3 linked regions of the Pelodiscus sinensis genome follow. The protein of the gene in region 3 interacts with the protein of the main gene of each other region in a biochemical or structural test. Links are inferred from orthologs where the notes say so. Each region holds a gene or a part of one and is shown on either strand. Other genes may lie near its edges.

Region 1 (6,967 bases), about 7.7 Mb from region 3:
GGAATAACAGCTGGGCTGCCTGGGACCTTGGCCAAGAGGGTGGCTCTAAGTGTGGCGGACAGTTCTACCTTTCCAAAAGGTAGTTTGTCCAGTTGGGCAAGGAAGCTATTTGGGGAACATGGGGGGGAAGGTGCTTGGGAGAACAGAGGAAGGAAGTCAGAAGCAGTTATGCCCCCAAGCAGCAGCACAGAGAGGATAAGAGAGCTGGGGAGTGGGTGAGAGACTGTATCAGGCAGAGTGGGGAGGTTACCAAGATCTGCTTTGGTGTGATGGAATTGTCTGTGTAAATGCAGAGTTTCTCCACAGTCAGGGGCATGGTCTCTCGCAACTTGGAAGCCAGGAGCATGCAGACGGCCCCCAGGAGCTGCAAGTGATTTTTTCGAGTATGAACTGAAGACAGGTAGCGATCCACGTAGTTCATAGCCAAGGGGAAGACCTCCTCTTCACACTTCTGCTCCTCACACACCTGGCAGAACCCAACAGAGGAAAGGAAGGGTTTTAAAGGCAGCCCCAGCCTGCACCGGGACTTCAAAACTACTAGTTGCCATAGTTTCTGGCACGTGTGGAGCCTTTTGTCTGGTGCTCTCAAAGCCCTTTTAGGTTTAAGAGACAAATTCTCCATTGGTGTAACTCCAGCCCACCACCCGCAGGGAATTTGATGCAATGTGCTACAGTTCACCTCCCTTTCCTCTGGGAAGTAGGGAAAATAGAGAGGTTAGAGACCAAAATCTTCTAGAGGGCCCACTGATTTAGGTCTTAATTACCAGATGTGCCAATCACTTTCTGCTCTCCTTAAATGGGGGTGCTCAGCACCTCTGAAAAAAAACAACCCAGTCCCAATGTAGCTTCAGCTGGCCCAAAAAAGGAGGCACCAAGAATCAGTTGCCACTTTTGGAAACTCTGGGCTAAGTGACTTGCCCAATATCACAAAAAGAGTCACTGGCAGAGCCCAGGATAGCAACTGCATTCAAACTCCTGGCTCCCCTTCTCTGTCTATGGCACATTCATGAGAGGCACAAACAGAACCCAGGAGTCTGCAGGTCAACCCCTTCTATACATGCCACTAGGCTTTTAATGAACAGCCATATTTCCTTGTTTTAACAGAAAAATATTGAATTTTCCCCTTGTGCTATAGCAACTGGCATCCTTCTCTTTCACCCTGTAACTTTGCCTCCCAATGTCCTCTCTACCCACATAAAACCGCATGCCAGAGACTTTTTCCTTTTAAAAAAAATAGACTCACTTCTCATTTCAGATTTAAGTTTAGCTGCATTCCCTCTCACCCTCATTCAAAATAAAAAATGAAAAATTAGCATTTAGAACTAAATCCTGCTGCCTCTGAAGTCAATGCAAGTTGTACCACTGACTTCAATAGGACCTACGTTTAGGCTTACTAATGCAAATCCTATTAAATTGGGAAATCCCAAAGATACCGCCTCCAACTTTACTATGGGCTCCTTCCACTTTACTGAGGTCCCTGCTTTGCAGGATCAGGCCTCAACACACCTTTTAGCCAAGTAACTCTCTCAGAAAGTGCACTTAAGAAAAAGGATAATTAAAAAAGTTGGAATCGGCATGTGATTAAAAAAAAACCCAGGCAGTATGTCACAACAGCCAGTGAAGTGGAAAGAGCCTCAGACTGAATTCAATCCAGATTCTATTTCTTCCTCGTGTAATCTCATTTTCCTCCCAATCTAGGCTATTCAGGGCTTGATCATTTATGAAAAGCGAGAGACATCTGGGATATGTTCCTCCTTGAGTTGTTCAGTGCGCAGGATTGCATTCCTTTTAATTTAGCGGCGTGGGAGGCTGGGATCTTTCTGCCCAGGCTTTCTCTCACACCGCATTGGACTCCCCCCCCCCCCCCCCAACTGTCCGATGAAAGGCAGAGACCTTGAAGCGGACAGTTTCCGGGCTGGGGTAAAACCGGAGGGACCCCTACAGGCAAAACAGGGTGTGGAGGAGAGCAGGTTGTGTTACCCCCTCGGTGCAGCAGGAAATGCTGCAATTCCGCATATGCAAAGGTGGAAATCATGCCCCCACCCAAGCACCCGGGGTCTTTCACCTGGGGGGGGTCTTTCAAATGCCCCCGTATCCCACTATTTCCTCTGCCTCCTCCCCCCCAAAAGATTGACTCCTCCCACCACAGACCGAGCCCCACAAACCAGCAGCCTCTCCCCCGCTCCATCAGATTGTTTCCTTTGGAACTCACGCGGCAGCAAGTGACATTGCAAACCGCCCCCCCATTAGCTCCCCCCCAACTGATACAGATTCCCCAAACCAAGTGACTTCCCTACCTTAAAAAACCCAAAAAACACTTCTCCCAACCCAACTGTCCTCCTTCCATTACCGCCGCCACCGCTAGGCGACCCCACTAAATCCTTTGCTCCGTTTACACTCAAGACTGGGGTGGGTCTCTCTCTCCCACACCCAGCAAGCATAGCCCCTCTCCTGCCCGAGCCGGGCAGCCTGTATCTGCGGTGGGGACCAAGGAGGGTAGGCAAAGGAGCTGCTGTTGGACTCCAGGATGGATCGGGAGGGAGGGGGTGGCAGGACCCGGATTGAGGGAGGGGGTCCCGTACCTCCAGCATCCAAAAAGCCAGCATCTTCCGCATGTACGGCTTGATCTCCTTCTGCACGCAATGGAAGTAGGAGACCCGGGGACTATAGCGCTCCTCCTGGCTCAGCAGGTTCTGCAGCACCCGCCGGTCCCCCAGCAGCTGGGGATCGCGCTCCGCCCTGGGCACGCGGGGGGCCCCCTCCACGCACAGCAGCTCCATGTGTCTGGATCCTGGGGGGTCAGGGCACGAGAACGGGGACAGCCGGAGCAGGGACGGAAGGGGGGGCGCGCAGGGGAGCTGGCGACAGGGAGAGGGACACCCCCAGCCGGGGAGCGGGGCTGGGCGATCAAGCAACAGCGACCCCAGCCAGCTGCCTCCCGGCCGCTCTGCCCCACGCTCCCCGCCGCACTGACAGCGCCGGATCCACTGTTACAGTTTTTAGAACGTCGGGAAGTTAATGGGCGGGGCTACGGGCGGGGCCCTGCTCGCGGGAGGGAGGGGGGAGGGAGAGGAGCTGCAGTGCAAGCCCCCTGGGTCCCATGGTGGGCTAAGCGGCTGCCGCCTCGGAGCAGGGCGCCGGTCGCCCGCCCCTCCGCTCCAGATTGCAAAGCAAGTGAAATCCGCCCCCCCACGGTTTTCTTTTTCGCAAGCAATGGCCCCCTCCCCATGCCCCCCGAAATCCCCTCCGGTTCCATGGCTTCTTGCCACTGCTGCTACTGCACAGCCGGTGGTAAGGGACGCTCATTTTTCATTCCACCCAGTGGATGCAAGCTCTCCCATTGCTGCCCGGGGAAGACTTGGAGCAGTGTTTCTCAACCAGTGGTACCAGTACCCTGAGGGGTACCTGAGAGAAGTCTGGGGGGGTACGTCAACACAACTGAAATTTGGAGAAAACTGAATTTTTGTTTTAAGTTTTACGGCACTTTATTTTGGTACTTTTTACACCCATAAATTTCATTGCCTGCCCAGCTACGTTGTTTAAAGAAATGTTGGGGAAAAAACTGTTGTGTCTGAAAACTGTAGGTACTGGGGATACTTATAATTTTTTTTAAATAGAGGGTACTTTATAAAAAAAAGGTTGAGAAACACTGACAGAGTGACCAGACAGCAAGTGTGAAAAATCAGGTTGGGTGTATGGGGGAAGGGGAGGTACTAGGCACCTAAATAAGACAAAGCCATGGGGATAGCTGGTCTTCCTGCCTCAAGACATCAATCACCTGGAAACATCGCCATGCGGCAGTGGTGCAAGGTGACAGCACATCACATGGAATCCATCCGTGTCACACTACCTCAGAGAACATGCCGGGCTGTACGCGAGGCATGACTGCACATTGCCCTGAGTCGAAGAGTGTACAGTCCAAAAACCCAAAAGAAAGGCAAGAGACTGGACTGCAGAAACCCAGATGAGCAAATAACTTGAGGGGAGGGGGTTTGTTTTTGTTATTTTTCATTAGCATTCATTGCATTTTACTACATTATCCATCTATCTTGAGTACAACCACCAATGTTACCAAGTTACGGCATCAAAACCAAGATTCGTGAGCACACTATGACTATTCCTCGTGGGGTTCATGTTCAAAACAGGACAATCTGGAACTCAGATCCGTTGCCTGCTCTGTTAATCTATTATTTCAGTCTCTTTGATAGTTAATTCTGCCACTTTTTTCTTTGTCTTTTTTTTTGTCTAGCCCTTAGAAGCTATGAGAATAATCAGATAGATGTGAGTCTGTTGAAAGTATGTCTGCACTGGGCTTTTTCCTCCAAAACCTATCCGAGTATTAATGCTAATACTAATGCAGCTGCCCTGGAGACAGCAACATTGGAAACGTGTGTAGATGAGGCTTCGGCAGCCACTGGTGTTAACAGCATGTAATAATGGTTTTGAAAGAATACATTCTTAACTTTTGAAAACTACCCTGAGCTCTTGCCTATTTAGACTAGAGCCTCCTTAGGGCAGGACTATCTCTTGTTCTCTGTTGGGATCTCTAGACGCTCTTGCAATACAAATACTACTACTAATAAACACCTGGCTTGTGTACAAGAGGAGCAACATTCCTCATGTTGCTAACACTGTTGGAGCTGTACCAGTGTTAGCAATGAGAGATTTATTTTTTCACAGCTTTTACTACATGCCTCTGCATACTCAAAGCACTGCGTATGCTCAGCACATGGTTTTCACAAGTTCATAACTTCTTTTAAAACCATTTTTTTTCAAATTTAGCACCGATTAGAGCCTGCTTTCCAGGTTATTTGCCTGTCAAGTGCAAAGACTTAAAGCTGCTTTTGAGTTATCCAAGCTCAAAAGAAGGTCAGACTGCATCATTTAAACGTAAAACATATTTTCCCTTCACAACTACAGAATTAGAAAAAGAGCTGAATGGAATTTCTTCAAGTTTTTGAATAAAAACAAATTAAAATCGTTGTTGAGATTGAGAGTGAGCATGAGAAATTTCAGCCCAAAAGGTCAAACTCTGAGAAAATTCTGAATATGAAAAGAGAGAGTTAGAATGAAATGGCCAGCTCATACGAATTTGGTAACTCCCACAATGCTGTAATATGGCAACTGTAGGAATAGTTGGAAGCTGGGTGATTAATCATATAATCATAGAGGTTAGTGGTGGAAAATACTTTCAAGATCATCTACTCCATTCATTTGCTCCTTATTCTATATTTTAGTGCTTTATCCACTCTGGGATTAAAAGTCTCCAGAGAAGATGCTTCTTCCATGCTGCTTTGCAAAGAGCTACATGCAGGAGTTTATCCCACAGTATTACTGTACTAAAATCACATTAGGTGTGCTGAGGAGTGGTAGCTGACCCATGGATTCAGACTGGGGTGGCCAAGGGTCAGCTGGGAGGCTTGGGAAAAAGGCGTGTAAGTCACCATGCCCAGGAGAAATTAAATACATAGATATTACGGACATGTTGGATGAAGTGTCATGTACCTAAGATGGAATCTGTGATCAGTATTAGCAGGTACTAGATTAGTATACTATAAGGCATTGTAGGAGCATTCGCCTAGACAGCTGGTTGTATAGCATTCCATCTTAATCATCTTAAAAGAATGTAGGATCAAAGAAGTTAGAGATTGAATGATCAACCAGATCTTTGAGTTTATTCTCTCTCCCCCCAGATGAATTCACTACCACTTTGAGGCATCCTATACTTTTTCTTGACCTTATAAAAATCTATGTTTAATCATTGCAAAAAATAGGGACTGTAAGAAAAAACATGTTTTAAAAATGTGTTTATTTTTGAGCATAAGCAAAACAAGACAAAAGTCTTTATCTGTCCTGTTCAGGAACATTGACCCTGAAAAGGAAAAAGATAAATAAAAAATTCTTTTTTGATCAGAGGCTTCATTTTGCATCTCCAGAAACATGAAGGTCGTGTACATACCAGATCTGATATGAGGCACACTAGCACTGAAAATTCCATTTACTTCAAGGAACATGGGACCAAGCACTATCTATCTGTGCCATTTCTAATGATCCCAACATCATAACTACAATAGTATCTTGTTCCTGATTACATGACGTGTTACACAACACACAAACAAAATCTTATTGCCATGTAGCAAAGGAGTAAAGCAGTGAGTGTATGTGGAATTATATTGATTCCATCCCAGTCCTAAAACGAAAAAGGGGAATTTCAGTAGGTGATATTAGAGAAACAAGGTGGGTTACTTAATACCATAAGAACGGCCATACTGGATCAGACCAAAGATCCCTCTAGCCCACTATCCTGTCTTCTGACAGTGGCCAATGCCAGATGCCCCAGAGGGAGCGCACAGAATAGGGAATCATCAAGTGATCCCTCTCCTGTCATCCATTTCCAGCCCCTGACAAACAGAGGCTAGGGCTACCATTCCTACCCATCCTGACTAATAAGTAATGATGGACCTAACCTCCATGAATTTATCTAGTTCTTTTTTGAGCCCTGTTAAAGTTCTGGTCTTCACAACATCTTCTGGCAAGGAGTTCCACAGGTTGACTGTGGAATATCTTTTATTGGACCAGGTGGGGAGAGAGAAAAGCTTTCAAGCCACACACTGCATACAAGTAGGTGAGATAACATTCCAAAAATCCACCTCCACTGCACTTTCCATGGGCATGAAATATTTGAAGAATCCATGAAAGCAATTTCTTTAGACCAGTCAGATGGATTCAAACCAGGGTGACCCTCCTGCCCCCTATTCATTTATTGTTGGAAGCGTCTTTTGTATACAAAGTGAAGAGGGCTTAAATCCCACATTTTCAGTAAAAATATGTTATTTTCTTTAGCCAAGCAAAGGGAAACCACAGTGCTGGGTTCTTGGTCCCTACATTTTCTGGACAATGTCATTTGAAATTGAAAGCTTCAGGACATATACCAGACATAATGGGCTCACACATGTTTGCTTATTGT
Region 2 (7,472 bases), on a different chromosome or scaffold from region 3:
GTGCAGAAATGCAGCTTAGAGGGAACCCTGATTAGCAGTGCCAAAAATATTTTTAAAAATCTGAATTTTTGGGGAATTGAAAATTCTGAAAAAAATCCATGTCCGGTTCATGGATACATTTCCTTTGACAGAACAAAATATTTCATTTCAATTTCACGTTTTTACCCTTTTTTTATATAAAAGCAGTAAATCTGGAAACAAAGGGTTAGATTCACAAGGGGACTTAGATGCCAGTCACAAAAGTGAGGAGTCAGTGGGCCAAAGGGAGAGTTAGAATTACTATTTACTTTGGTAATTAGGGCATGCCCAGTTTCCAGTTCTTGCTTCAGTTAATTATACAAACTAGAACAGCTTCAAAATGGAGAGAGACCTATTCCAAGATAGCCAATAGCTGACACTCTAGGGAAGAGGGGAAACCTTCTTGCAAGTCTCTGCATTAGACTGGAGATTCCCCCTTGACTTTCCCACATCCCAGGTAAGCACCTACCCACTGTACTATTGGATTGTGTAGGGGAAGGCACAACCTTCTTGGTTTTGTGAATGCCATTTAAATCCTGTTGTGAATCTAGCTGGAACAAGCAAAACATTGGACTTAAAAATGTCCCAGTGTACCATTTTGATATTCCTGATTGTATTTCTTTTTATACTGAAGCAGTTCTCCAGCTCTAGTTCTGGACATTGTTGTTGGGAGGGCTAATGACTTCTGTTACATGCAACTGAGTTATCAAGTTGAATTTCCAGCCAGTCTGATCTAGCTGATGAGCCGCCTGCATCTGTTATTTCTAAGGCATTGTTCTCCATGACAGTGAGACTCCTACAACATACTGAATAGCTCCAGTTACTCAGTGCTTCATTTGTGCCAGGATTCACAAGGGCTGAGCACCCCTCGGCTTGGTAGTTCACAGCCCCAGCACTTCAGAGTCGCTGCATCAGTTATGAATAGAGCCTTGTGCGACACAAAATTTGTATCCGCATCTGCAGAAATTATCTCTGGAGATCCACATCCACATATGTGCATATAAAGCTGATATCCACAGATTTGCAGGGCTCTAGTTATGAAAGTAAGGGTGTGTCTAGACTACCTAGTTTTTGTCGACAAAACTATACCAGCGTCTACACTACCGCTGAGTTCTGTCGACATGATGTCGACAGAACTCAGCAGTTTTGTCGACGCTGGTATACCTCATTTTACAAGGCATAACACCTTCTGTCGACAGAACTCTGTCGACAGAAGGTGTTATTGCCTGTAACACTGCGTCCAGACTACGGAGTTCTGTCGACAAAGCAGCTTGCTTTGTCGACAGAACTCAATGTGTCTGGACGCTCTTTGTCGACGGAAGTTTTGTCGACAGTATCTGTCAACAAAACGTCCGTCAACAAAACGCGGTAGTCTAGACGTACCCTAAAACAACTGCTTGAGCCCCAGCACTAACTTGCTTAAGCCCTGGCACTTCTTTCATTACAAATTAAGCACTGCAATTACTTTGTCCACACTTGCAATGTGTCTCGCACATGTCACTCAGTTTTGGGCTGGTCTCGAAGTATTTCACTTTCACTGCTCTGAATTACCGACAACAGGAATGTTGAAAGTGAGAGAAATTGAGGTCAGAGAAAATGGGCCCAGTTCTCTCCTATCTTGCCCTTGTATAGTCATTTACACTTGTCCAGTATTCAATATTCACTTTGTTCATGGGTGAATGATTACTCAAAGTGCAAAGCAGTGGAGAATCAGGTCTGACAACCAGCCATAAGCAATTCACAACCAGTATTCATAGGTAGATCCTAGAAAAGGAACAACCTCATCTTCTCAGGGTTAGAAAATATACATTTAAATGCAAGTTGCAGGAGTGCAATATGATAAAAAAGATGTCCATGTAGCAGCCAGCTGTCAGTTTCCAAAAGTCATGCTCTGTCCAACTTTTTAAAAAGTACACTGACCTTACTCTCATTTGTAGTCGGAGTCTATCACTTCAGAGTAAATAAACTTAATATTTTTTGCACATTTAGCAAACTGCCAGTTCATTCTAAGTTCAATCAGAATAAGACTGGAAAAAATTGTTAGGGGGATGTTCTTGCAATTTCCTCACTTTGCTTCAGGACAGATCTGTGAATGATTACAAGATTTGACTGCTGCTCTCTGATAGAAAGAGGAAATTATCCTAGAAAAAGATTTTTTATCCCTCCACTTCAAAAGTTTGTTATTTTTAATAGCTGTTTAGTCTTTTCATACAGTTAGGTCTTCTCCACACAGCAACCATTTACAGGTTGGGTTTTTTTCACTGGTTGGGGCACTGTTGATGAAATACACTGCTGGTACTCACGTAACACTAATCAGATGCTTAATTAGGTGATAATCACAATAACATTTGATTAAGTCACAATGAAGATTGCTGGCATATTGTTAATGGATCTGGGGAAATGTTGGGTCTTTGGCTTTTTTCACAATAGCAGCAATATGAAAGAACCACATGGGCACAGGGAGTCTAAATAACTGTGTTTGCTCAAAAAAACAACAAATGGTTGTGTTGGTTCATTATCTGTATAACATGCAAGGCCAAACTACATATACACACTACTGCTTTGGTAGGGTTCCTGATGACTTATGAAACACAGAAAACAGTGAGGGCCATTAATGGACTCACAAACTGCTTAAAGCATATTACCAACTTTCTATAAACTACATGACTAGCATGTGTGGTGGTGTAAATTACAAAGCTTGGAATATGCTGACTGTCCCTGTATAAATGGGACATCTGGTCACCCTATTATGCACAGAAAATGTCATGGGAAGTTTGACAATAAGAAAACACAAATGGGAGCGTGAAACAGCCGCCTCACCCACAACCAAGAGTAGGCTTCTGTGTCCTCCTCTGCAGATTCCCCCTGTGCACCCAACAAGCCCTCCCAGCCTTTCAGCAGAACCTGCAGTAACGTGTCCTCTGCTGTTGTGACGCCAACCGCTTGTCCCCTCACGTCCTTACGGCCCTGAGATGACAGGTGAGAAGGGCACCTACGCGTTGTGCTGCAGTGACGTCACGCGGCATTGTGATGTCATGCCAGATGACGACAGATGCACGACGACGCGCGAGGTCGCGTGCTGTACCACGCCTCCCTCATCCCCCAATGGCGACCACGCTCGTTCCGGGCTGGGGGGGGGGGCGCGGCGCGTGCAGAGGCCTCCCTCTGGCGGTCGGAACCGCTCAGAGCCCAAAAGCCTCCTCGTGACCGACGGGAGCAGCTGACGGGCGGTCACGTGATTCTCAGGGCAGTTGCTGGGAGGTGCAGGTCGCCGGCGACCCCGGTTCCGTGAGTGGCGGGTCCGGGCGGGGGAAGGGGGCGAAGGGAGCTTCGTGCCTGGCTGGGGACAAGGCCCCCCCCCCCCCGGGGTCTGGCTGGGAGGCTGGAGCGTCCCCCCGTGTGGAGCGGAGAGTCCCGCGTCAGCTCCTCCCTTCCCCCACGCGTCGGTGCCTTAGCGGGCGGCGGGCGTCTCGCTGCCGCGGGGGCCGAGGTCGGGGTCCTGGCTGCCCCTCGCCCGGAGCAGGCGGGTCCAGCCCCACACGTGGGAATCCCTGCGCTGGGGAGAAGCCAGGACCCCGCCGTCTGTGCGCTTTCAATTCAGTTGTAATGATTTGGCTGGTAAAATAAAACACTTAAGATGGATTTTTAAATACAAATCCACATTTTTAATGTAAAACTCTTATGTGGCTTGTTGCTGCTGGCCAAGACTTTTAAGATGCAAAAAGTGTTGTATCAGGAATCTGCACTGTCTCCTGGGGCTTAATATTTGACCTAGACTGCAACTGCAGGGACTGAAATCCAGCAAGACCCTCCAGATCTTTGCGTTCCCCGGGCTACAAGGGTGCACAGAACCTTGCAAGGTAGCACGATGACTAATTTAAACAGTTGATTAATGTAACCACATCCTCAGTTTTTATAGTATAAAAACTCCCATTTTAATATGGAGTACAAAATGAACAAATTGATTTTGTCCAGAATGTTATTGGAATTGAACATGTAAAAACTTTTTATACAACAAAACAGTATTTGTATACCCAATCTATGAGTAATTTGAATGAAACTATAATTCCATTCAAAATATTTTGAACAGTAGCTGCAATATATAGTGTTGCATTCTGTTGGAGTTTCACTTTGTTGTTTTTGTAACTTTATGCGCTTAAGTGCTAAGTTGATGTAAATGAAGATGGGAAACTATCAAAATTTTTGCAATGGAGGGTGTGTGCAAATACACTTTTGTCATAAAATATTTTGGAACATAAGCCCTTTCAATAGCTTCTCTCTGTCAGAGGTGTTGATTTCTTTAACGTAAAATCTGATTAATCCAGGGTTAGAGTCCTCAGTGAGCTGAGCTGGAATCTTATTTTCTAATCCAAAGGTTAACCAGAAATATGTAATAAAAAAGGTCAGACTTTGCACAGCACGTATGGATACTTTGAACTATGATGACTTTATACTGATTTGAACCCAAACAAGTTTCTTACAAGAAGTGTCACAATTGACTGCACACCTTTCTTATTACAGGCCTATAAGCAGGGCCGGCCTTAGGCCGATTCAGCCGATTCCCCAGCATGGGGCCCTGCACCCAGAGAAGCGATGTTTGCGCCGGGAGCACAGCGCATGTGCAGAGAGCCGGGAACACAGCGCTTGCGCAGGCCCTCCAGGCGCAAGGCGCATGCGTCGTGACATTCCGGGCGCATGCACCTGGAGGGGCCATGCATGCGTTGTACCCCCAGGGAACTGCGCATGCGTGAGTCCCTGGGAGCACTGCTCATGTGTCGTGACATCTGGGATGCGCAATGCATGCGCCGTGCCGCCGAGGGCCCCACACGTGTGCGGCCCCGCCCCCGGAATCGGGCCCTGTGCTCCGTAGAGCCGGCCCTGCCTATAAGGATCAGGAAAGTATGCTAACACTATCTTCCAATTTGCAGTAATGGAACAAGAACAGGATCCTGTTACTCTAGAAGATGCAAACATTAAAGCTATTAAAGAAGAGTTCCAGAAAGCCTTTATGCTAGTCAATAAAGGGCTGAATACAGATGAATTGGGTCAAAAGGAAGAAGCAAGGAACTACTACAAGCAAGGACTTGACCACTTGCTTAGAGGAGTTAGCATTCCATCACAAGGTCCTGAATGTACAGGATCCCAGTGGGACTCTGCCAGACAAATGCAGCAAAAGATGCAAGAAACTTTACAAAATGTTAGAACTCGACTGAATATTCTAGAACAAAATACCCCTGCTATGCAAACCATCACAATGAATATGCCTCAACAGGTGCCCAAGTTATACCCAGTGATACCCACTACTGAAAAGCCAGAAAGGCCCCCTGAGCCAAATTCTCTGATTCCACCATCTGGGCCTCCTGCAGTGAATGAAAATGTTGCAACTACAAGCAAAGGGCAACTTCCAGCTATGAGTCCTTCATCTCCAATAGCTCACTCTCTACCACATGAAGCTCCTCCTGTGTATACTCCTCAAGCTACTGAAGGACACTATACTGTATCTTATGGTACGGACACAGGGGAATTTTCATCAGTTGGAGAGGACTACTATTTAAAATGCAATCAGCCTCCTCCCATTGAAAGTCTAGGAGTAGATGCAGATGAATTGATCCTGATTCCCCAAGGAGTACAGATATTCTTTGTGACTCCTGATGGGCAGGTTAGTGCTCCTTCATACCCCGGATACCTGCGCATTGTGAAGTTCTTGGACACTGATAGTGCAATGGCCCAGAATCGTCCCCCTGCGTTTCTTCAGGTAACAATTCTAAAGTTTAATTTTAGAATACATTGCATCTAGTATTAATTTTTGCATATGAGCTACAGTTTTGTAATGAACCATTGTGTTACTATGAAACAACCAGTAGCTAATGGAGGCATGTACATTTATTGTATAGATGCCACTAAAACACACTCTTGTGTCTATAAAGAAATAGCTTTTGTGTCCGTCTGAGAGTTCCAAGACTCTAGATATTTCAGTGGATTTTTTTTAATGGGAATGGGTTGGCTTTTAACACTTTTTTTGATATTACAGTATTGTTTTTTCCTTTTGTAGATAAATTTGACCTTTTGAATTATATACTGCCATTAACTGAATTAGTGTATGAAAGGTCAGTTTTAAAATGGCTTACATACTTAACTTTCTAGCTGAACGTGTTAGTACAGTTTAGGTGGATAACTGCATGGTTCTGAATTTCAACCTAGTTATGTGAACGAGGGATAGAACAGATTAGGTATCTGAATGTTTAACTATTTAACTGGTAAGCCTTACCCTTAATCAGCACAGTCCCTGCAAGTGGCTGGGGGCCACTCCAGCTCAGTGGCACTCACCCTCTTCCCCCTTAATTGGTTAACCAATTAAATGTGATTTTTACATTCCCAGAACAGATATTTTAGGTTATCTAGTCCACTACCTTGCCAGTGCAGCATTATTTTTTAATATGTTTTTAGTGCTGTTTTTCTAGCCTCGTTTCTAACCTTATTCTCTTTGAGATATTCGTTTGGATCTTTTTAGCCTTGTTTACAGGGGGGAAATATTCCCACCATTGTTTCAGGTCCACGAGTGCTAGCAGCCAGTGTTCTCCCTCAGATTTTCCAACCATGAGAGGAGTGAGTTTTGGCTTGTGCACCAATGTTGAGGTCATGTGTGCTGGTTTGGATGTGTGCCACCCTGGCACCCAATTTATGAACACACACATTCCTCGCCACCAGAGCAGACCTCCTCTCCCCCCCACGGCCATGTGGCAGGTGCTGTTCCTGGTCCCAGCCACCAGAACAGGCGCTGGCCACCCAGCAATGTGGCAGCCCCAGCCACCGGAGCAGGCCTGCCCCTTCCCCCCTGCCACGTGACTGAAATAGGTCCCAGCCCCCTGCTCCAGCAGCTCCTTACCACACTGTCTCAACTGACCCCACCCACTGGAGCAGCTGCCTGCCACCCAAGTGTGTCTGTGCAGCTCTCTGAAGGAGGTGGGTGGGAGAAGAATTTTTTGTGCACAGCCATGCAGAAGCACGCCTTAGCAGGAATGAAGAGCTCTAGATAGCCCTTTGGCAGCCAGGCCCATTCTTTACACTGTGTCGTGTAAGCCTGCGCTGAATGGAGCAGAATGGCAGAGGGACTGTAAATCCAGCACCCGCTTGGCATTATGGTAGGCTCCTTCTTCTGAAGCTGGGATTCCTGGGTCTCAGTAAAAGGTTGCTGTGCTATACAAGAGCCCTGTGAAAATGAACTGTATTTGTTACTTATTTAACTTTGTTGGTAACCTATCGAGAATGATGTATCCCAATAAACTTTTCAGGATCACTTTGAGGATTTTGTAATAAAACTACATGGGAGCCTTGGAGTCTGATGCTAATCTGTACAGATCCTTCAACAGACATTTCTTTTGGCTTATTTATACAATTAAAGGTACTTGTCATTCTCAGGTTTGTGACTGGCTGTATCCTCTTATGTGCAATCA
Region 3 (7,282 bases):
AATAGCTCAGGAATTTTACATGCTTAGCTTGAAAAGAGATTTTCATGAGCTAAAGAGTTTGAGGGTTACTTTATGGTTATAAAGTAAAACCCCCAAAATGGTTTGGGTTGAACCGGGTTTCATTCCACACAGAATTCATTGTATTCCAGTAACAGAGTTAACTCTCACCTCTGTAATAAGCAGCGAATAGTTTGTTCAGCTCTGCCCTCACACAGTCTGACAATGTAGCCTTGTGCTATTCATCTGGAAGAGATTTTCGCACTACAGTGGCATTTGGCTTCTATATATCTTGAACCTTAACTTAATAGTCTCACTGTCTATAATATTCTATTGATCCCACTTTGTTTCTGCCTTTTCACCCAGAGAGGAAGAGGCCAAGAGATAAAAATAGAAATCAGCCCTCGTGTCGCCTGACAGTTCACACCCTTGTAAACAATTCAGTGGAATGACATCACTGCCAGCAGTCAAGTTCCAGCATGTCCAAACAAGCCCTGGCAGGTAACAAGTTTCAACTTGTTCATGCATCTAAAAGCAAACACTCACACCCATTAGAATGCAGAAGGCCCTCTCCTGAGAGATACTGAGTGCTCTTAATGTCTCCCACTGACTTAGACTTAAATCAGTGTCTAAGGCCTGCTCTATTCTAGGAACCGGGGTTCATATAACTGCATCAGTCAGGGACCTGAAAAATCCACACCCCTGGGCAGTGCTGTAAAGCAGACCTTAGTCACCATATAGACCAGTGGTCCCCAACCTTTCGTGGCTGCCGGTTGCCCAGGGGCGGGGCCGCTCACGTGCCAGGCATCTGGGGGTGGGGCCACGCATGTGCCGCGCTCCTGGGGGTGGGGCTGCCCACGCATCCTGTGCCGGCACTGCGCAGGTGCCACGCGCCGGGCCAGCACAGATATTTCGGCAGGTGCACATAAATGCCCCAGCAGGCACCATGGCTCCTGCAGGTACTGCGTTGGAGACCACTGATCTAGACAATGCTGGGTCAATGGGAGAATTCTTCCACCAGCTGGACTACAGCCTCTTTGGGAGGACCCCTCCCATCATACCTACCTAGACTGAAGTAGCTTAATATAATTTAATAATGGAGATTGCTTATCTCCTAGAACTGGAAGGGACCTTGAAAGGTCATTGAGTCCAATCCCCTGCCTTCTCAGCAGAACCAAGTACCATCCCTGATGAATTTTTGCCCCAAATCCCTAAATGGCCTCTGCAAGGATTGAGCTCACAACCCTGGGTTTAGCAGGCCAATGCTCAAACCACTGAGCTATCCTTGTAGCATTAAGTAGCTCAGCCCCTTGCAGGCATAGCAAGGCCCCAAACTGCACCACCTCACATTAGTCGGGAGTGTAGGCTGAAGCATTACGCTTAGTCAGATGACACCGGGGTGGGGTGGGGTGGGGTGGGGTGGAGTGGGGGGTTGTGGTTGAGGACTTTAAGAAGCATCAAAGTCATTTTCCTTTCCTTTCATACACTGAAGTTTTCTTGCAAGTCCTGTTACATTCTGCTAGTGGTTCCCAATTCTGCTAGTGGTTCCCAAACTTTTTGATTTTTTGAGAAACCCTCATGCCCCACTCCCCCCAAAATAGCAGCAAAACTTGGGGTGGGATTGCGGGTGGTGGTGGTTGGGTCACCTCTTGCCCCACCCTGGGATTTTCTCACACCCCCACCAGCAGGGCACACCCCTGAATTTGGGAACCCATGTAAGAGTCCTGCAGACTTGAACAAGTAGCAGATACAGTGTAAGGTTTGTGATCACCAGGGTGGTGCTTACCTAGCTGGGTTGGCAAGTGAAACAGCTTGTCACTGGCTCTGCGCACCCTGACTGCTCTAACATGAGTCATCACTCCCCTAAGCCCATTTCCCACAGGTGACTGGATACCAGTTGCAAAGGGATGGAATCAGTCACACGCCAAGCGCGGAGAGCTTGCTGCCTGGGCAAATCTCCCTGCTGCCTCATTTGCCCCACAGGCCGAGCGGTGTGCGCGAGGAGCATAGGGGGCGATTTTGCTCCAGTACTGTTTGGGATTCTTTGAGGAACACACTGTGTTCCAGCTTCACTTCGGGATCTTCCACCCCTGGAGCCTGTTCCTAGCTCAGGAACCTGCTCCTGGTGAAGCTGGGCATCTTTACCAGTCCCTTGAGTGGATCACAGCATGATCTGGTTCAAGAGGCAGCTGGAGACTATGGCAAGAGAAAGGGACAGCAGGACTTCCACAGAGACTGGCTGGAGCTCAGTGCAGCCCCCTTCCTCTCCATACACCCAAGTCAGGGAAGGAAGTCACAAGGGACAGGTTTTAAAGTTCAGCCTTCTGCGGCCATGTACTCCAGGCATTGCAGTTTCTAGGCGAGGGAGGGAGGAAGTGGCTGGGGTCACTCGGCTGGACTGTCAGGCAGCGCAGCCTAGCAGGCAGTTGGAGCACTAGGAACTAGCCGGGTAAGCAATGAGCGGGGGCGGCGCAGGCATTTCAGTGCCCCACGTCCCCCACCAGGGGGTGTTTATCGCCCAGGACACTCCAGCCCGACAGAGGCGCCGGGATGCCCGTTCTCGTTCACACCAGAGGCAGGGGCTAGAGGAGTCACTCCGGACGCAGGGGGAAGCCACCCCGTGCGCCCAGCGACCCCTCCCGGGACATGCCGATGCCACACGCTTTCCCTGCCGAGAGGAGCCCGCTTGCATCATCTGGAGCAGCCTAGGCGCGGAGCCACTGCGCGTTTACACCTTCCAGCCCACCCTTCACGGATCCGGTCCCGCCCCTGGCTGCCAGCCCCCCCGCCCTGTCACCGCGGCCTCTCCCGAGCTACCTGCGGCAACTGCCCCCGGGGCTGTGCCTCGCCGGGGGCCCGCCACTGCCGCGGGGGGGGGAGGTGCCAGCAGTCAGCCCCGCATGAGCTCGGACCGGCACCGGGATCACGGCTCCTCCTGGTTGGCTGTGCCCGGCGCTTCGGGGAAGCCCAGCCCGGGGCGCGCCTGGCAGTGACTCCGGAGCCCTCGCAGCAGGGCCGGGCTCTTACCTCATAGCAAGTGTGACTAACGCCCCCCCCCCCCCCCCCCGCGGGGCATGCCCGGGCACCGCCCGCCCTGCCGGCCGCAGCGCCCCGCTCGGAGCCCCGACGCGCCCCAGCGCTCCCTGCAGACCCCAGCGGCGTTGCCTCGCCAGCGCTGGCCCTGCTCGTGCCGGCGGGGGGCGCCCCAGTCCCAGCCCTCGGGGCGGCGGCAGCCCAAACCCTGCAATAGGTTCCCGGCGCCGGATCAGGGTAGCGCCGGGATCTTCGCTCTCGCAGCCCCCGAGCGGGGGGGCCGGTCCCGGCAGGCTCCCCAGCCAGCGAAACCGAGAGCGCCAGAGCAGAGGGACTGGGAGAAATCCCCGGCCGCGCCCCGGGAAGTGCCGGGTGACCCCTCGGAGAGGGGCCGCGCTTAGCCTCAAGCGCCCCAGGGTGGGATCCCCGTTACGTGTCGGGAAGGGGGTGAGAGCGGTACCCCGCTCCGGTGTCTGGGGGCCAAAGAGCTGGAAAGACCCCTCCGCTCAACGGCGCGCCCCGGAAGAGCGAGGGTCGCTGATGGTGCGCGGAGCAGCCTTGCGGCGGGGAAGGGGACGGATTAACGGGGACAAAGACAGGATCCCCCCTGCCCTCTCACCTCGCCGGATTAACGGGGACAAAGACAGGATCCCCCCGCCCCCTCACCTCGCCGGATTAACGGGGACAAAGACAGGATCCCCCCGCCCCCTCACCTCGCCGGATTAACGGGGACAAAGACAGGATCCCCCCGCCCCCTCACCTCGCCGGATTAACGGGGACAAAGACAGGATCCCCCCCGCCCTCTCACCTCGCCGGATTAACGGGGACAAAGACAGGATCCCCCCTGCCCTCTCACCTCGCCGGATTAACGGGGACAAAGACAGGATCCCCCCGCCCTCTCACCTCGCCGGATTAACGGGGACAAAGACAGGATCCCCCCCGCCCCCTCACCTCGCCGGATTAACGGGGACAAAGACAGGATCCCCCCCGCCCTCTCACCTCGCCGGATTAACGGGGACAAAGACAGGATCCCCCCTGCCCTCTCACCTCGCCGGATTAACGGGGACAAAGACAGGATCCCCCCCGCCCTCTCACCTGGCCGGATTAACGGGGACAAAGACAGGATCCCCCCCGCCCTCTCACCTCGCCGCAGTCTCCCCGCCCTGCGCCTCTCCAAGCCGCTGCGCTCTACGCGCTGCGCCCTGCCAGCCTCCAGATAAGCAGGCACAGGGCTCCTCCCCCGTCCTCCCCACCTGCTCGCACAGCTGATTTCCCCCGCCCCCCGCAGCCAGTCCCAGGCGCTGCGACCAGCTCGGTAGCCCGGACTGGGGGCTCTGGTGATATGTGGCAGCCTGCGCTGCTGGGGGCTGAGCTAACCCCACGGCCCGGCCGCTGAGTACCACAGCTTGGATCAGCTGCCAGGAGGCGCCAGTGCAGCCGCTGCACTAGCTGAGAATCTCGGTCCCACGGCCAGCTCCCGGAACCAGCCAGTGTATCTGCGCCCCGACCCTTCCAGTCACCAGGATCGAAGTGGCTGCGGAGGAGCAGGTGAGGTCTCTCCTAATGTTACCGGCTTGGCACATCTGGCTAGAGGGTGGCTAGCCCGGTCCTGGATGAACTGTTAATGTTCAGATCTAGGCTTCATAGCTCACTGGTAGGAACTTCAGGGCATTTGCTCCTAGCTACTAGTATTGCCAGGGCCCTCCTTAGGGTTCATGGGGCCCTACGGTGTAATTACACTGGTGCCCCGGTGCCCCACGGGGTGAGTCTTTTATAATATTCAGCTACACACTAATGAAATATGATAAAGCAAATTTTAAACCCAGGTCCTGTGTACATTAGTGCTCAGTGCATTCAGAAACTGACAGTAGACCTGGGGTTGGCATATGCCTGGGACATGGCTTCATTTCCACCAGAATGGCTCTTGCACAGGATCAGTGTTCTGCTAATGGGACTGGCAGGCTTTGTCACTTGTCAGTTAACTAGATCCTCTGCTGAGGAAGCAGAGCCACAGAAGGGAATAGGAAGAGGTGGGTGAATGGACATTAAGATCCAGTGGTGCCCCAAATTTTTGGGTCCCCTATGCCAGTGTTTCTCAACAAGTGGTATGGGTACTTGAGAGAAGTCTGGGGGGTACTTCAACACAACTGAAATGTGGAGAACACTGAATTTTTGTTTTTTTACAGCGCTTTGTTTTTGTACTTTTTACACCCAAAAATTTTGTCTGCCCAGCTACAATGAAGTTGTTTAAACAAATGCGTTGCAATGGTAGAATAAAATTGTGTGTCTGAAAACTGTGGGTCCTGGGGTACTTTAATAAAAAAGGTTGAGAAACACTGCCCTACAATGCTGCGTATTCTGGGTATGGGTAAGGACAGCTGGGAGCACTGCCCTCTGACTTCCCAGGGGCTCCCGTGCTGCAAGATTTTGGTTTGGCTCAAGGCAGTCGAAAACTAACTCTCTCAATAGGGTTTCCATACCAGAGCAGACCCAATTCATTCCGTCCCGAGCTTCTGTAGCAGCTACCGTATCTGCTGCTTCAGAGCAAAACCAAAACACAACGACCTCCCCATGGCCCACAAGGGAATACAGGCAGCTAACTCACATGGCAGTGAATGGAAATTAAGCTCTTTAGTGCCCTGAGAAGATCAGAGCCTGCGCTCCTAAACAGTTACATAATTGTTGCATATAAGAGAGGAAAGACGGAGGGAGAAAGATTCCTTCCTGATCTCTTCTGTGACCAGTTTATATCCTGAAGTGTAAGATCTGCCTTCCCCTTATCTCAGGACTTGTCTGTACTGGGGTCACCGCATCACTGCAAACCTGTATAAAAGCAAGGCTAACTAACTCACTAGGGCAGGCGTGTCCAAAGTCCGGCCCGCGGGCCAATTGCGGCCCGTGTTCCGGTTTAATTTGGCAATATCCCCAGGTAATTTGGCAATATCTATCTTTTATGGCCCCCAACGAATCCATATGTATTGAGATGAATACATTGTAAAATCTCAGTTAATGTCAGTTGGTCTAAATCAGTTATAAATATATTTGGACACAATGTGTATACTTGGTGTTATGTTCCTGTTCATATTTTTTGAACTTAAAAGTTGACAGACAACCTTTATTACCAATAATATGTAATGTACTTTACAATGTTCCTGACATATATTTCAGCTTCCTGGATTTTTTTTTCATCTGGCCTTCAGATATGAAAGGCAGAGTGATTTAACACCTGTTTAGATTTGTCATCCATGTGACGAAATGAAAAGTATGCCGTGTGCAATAAACTTTGCATAAAATAGTTAATTTGCGTTTAATTTTAATGGTTCAAAGAATGTCAGGCAAAATGGTCGGCCCTCACGCATGTTCACTTCATCAAATCTGGCCCTCGTTGAAAAAAGTTTGGACACCCCTGCTCTAGGGCAACGAAGTTTTACACCCAAGCCCTGTCTGCATTGGTGGCTTGCCATGGTACAGCTCCAGCTGAGGCTGGGTGTGTTTCACATCTATTTGGGAGGCTCTTTTGGATCAGAAATATACGTGCTAAATAAAGCATCTAATCTTCTGTTTCCAGGGTGCTTGCTGAACGTTCAGCACCTCCGATTGTTGCTGTTTTGGATTTAACCCCTTCCACAATGCAGAGTGGCACATTTCAGGCTGGCCTGCTCTCTCAGATAATATGTCTGGGCATGTTCTGTTGGAGACTGTCTCATGACCAAGGCAGAGCTTTTCTCTGCAAGTCCCCTTATAACACAGGATGCAGACACATCCCAGGAGTATGAAATCAGCTAACAGATATAATCCTAGGGCACAGAGATAGGCCCTGGGAAGCTGGGATCAGGAGTGAACTTCCCGAAGTTCAGGGGGATAGTTAAACACAGGATTTTAGATTGATGTGAGCTTTGATGTAGCAGTGACTAACGTATCCATGAACAAACCCATCTACCTCACACGCTCTTATCAATCTGCCCAACTCTAATTTTTGAATTCATGTGTTTTAATTCATTTTGAAAGCAAAGGCAAATGTACCTTGTGTTTCGCCAGCCACAAAATTCAGAGAGTTGTGTAAGCCAGAACAAGGGACTTCACTTTAGATTGAGGACAGCAGCAACCAAGAGTAAGAACAACAGTAAAGTCTTCACCATTAGAGAGCACAGTGTGTCTTTTCTGATTACCATTAGAAATATTGGAAAACTTCAGAGGGGGAGCCGAGTTAGTCTGTAACAGGAAAAACTTAAAAAACAACAAATAGTCTAGT

Evidence for each region. The genes of interacting proteins can lie anywhere in the genome.
Region 1: the proteins of CDKN1A (region 3) and CCND3 form a complex in vitro, tested with the Homo sapiens proteins (2 studies listed by BioGRID and IntAct, with this or other methods). The link is inferred for Pelodiscus sinensis from reciprocal best matches to the Homo sapiens genes CDKN1A and CCND3.
Region 2: the proteins of CDKN1A (region 3) and CCNA1 form a complex in vitro, tested with the Homo sapiens proteins (2 studies listed by BioGRID and IntAct, with this or other methods). The link is inferred for Pelodiscus sinensis from reciprocal best matches to the Homo sapiens genes CDKN1A and CCNA1.

What each region holds. Positions count from the first base shown.
Region 1 is NC_134737.1:9,470,683-9,477,649, reverse strand, and holds the start of CCND3 (G1/S-specific cyclin-D3), read right to left. Parts: upstream 3,002-6,967; 5' UTR 2,781-3,001; coding exon 2,583-2,780; intron 467-2,582; coding exon 251-466; intron 1-250. UniProt on the Homo sapiens protein: Regulatory component of the cyclin D3-CDK4 (DC) complex that phosphorylates and inhibits members of the retinoblastoma (RB) protein family including RB1 and regulates the cell-cycle during G(1)/S transition.
Region 2 is NC_134711.1:295,437,923-295,445,394, forward strand, and holds the start of CCNA1 (cyclin-A1), read right to left. Parts: upstream 3,002-7,472; 5' UTR 2,923-3,001; exon of another isoform or gene 2,839-2,922; intron 1-2,838. Other genes in the region: SPART (spartin), read left to right, coding at 4,949-5,773, 7,438-7,472. UniProt on the Homo sapiens protein: May be involved in the control of the cell cycle at the G1/S (start) and G2/M (mitosis) transitions. May primarily function in the control of the germline meiotic cell cycle and additionally in the control of mitotic cell cycle in some somatic cells.
Region 3 is NC_134737.1:17,145,651-17,152,932, forward strand, and holds the start of CDKN1A (cyclin-dependent kinase inhibitor 1), read right to left. Parts: upstream 3,021-7,282; 5' UTR 2,815-3,020; intron 527-2,814; exon of another isoform or gene 1-526. UniProt on the Homo sapiens protein: Plays an important role in controlling cell cycle progression and DNA damage-induced G2 arrest. Involved in p53/TP53 mediated inhibition of cellular proliferation in response to DNA damage.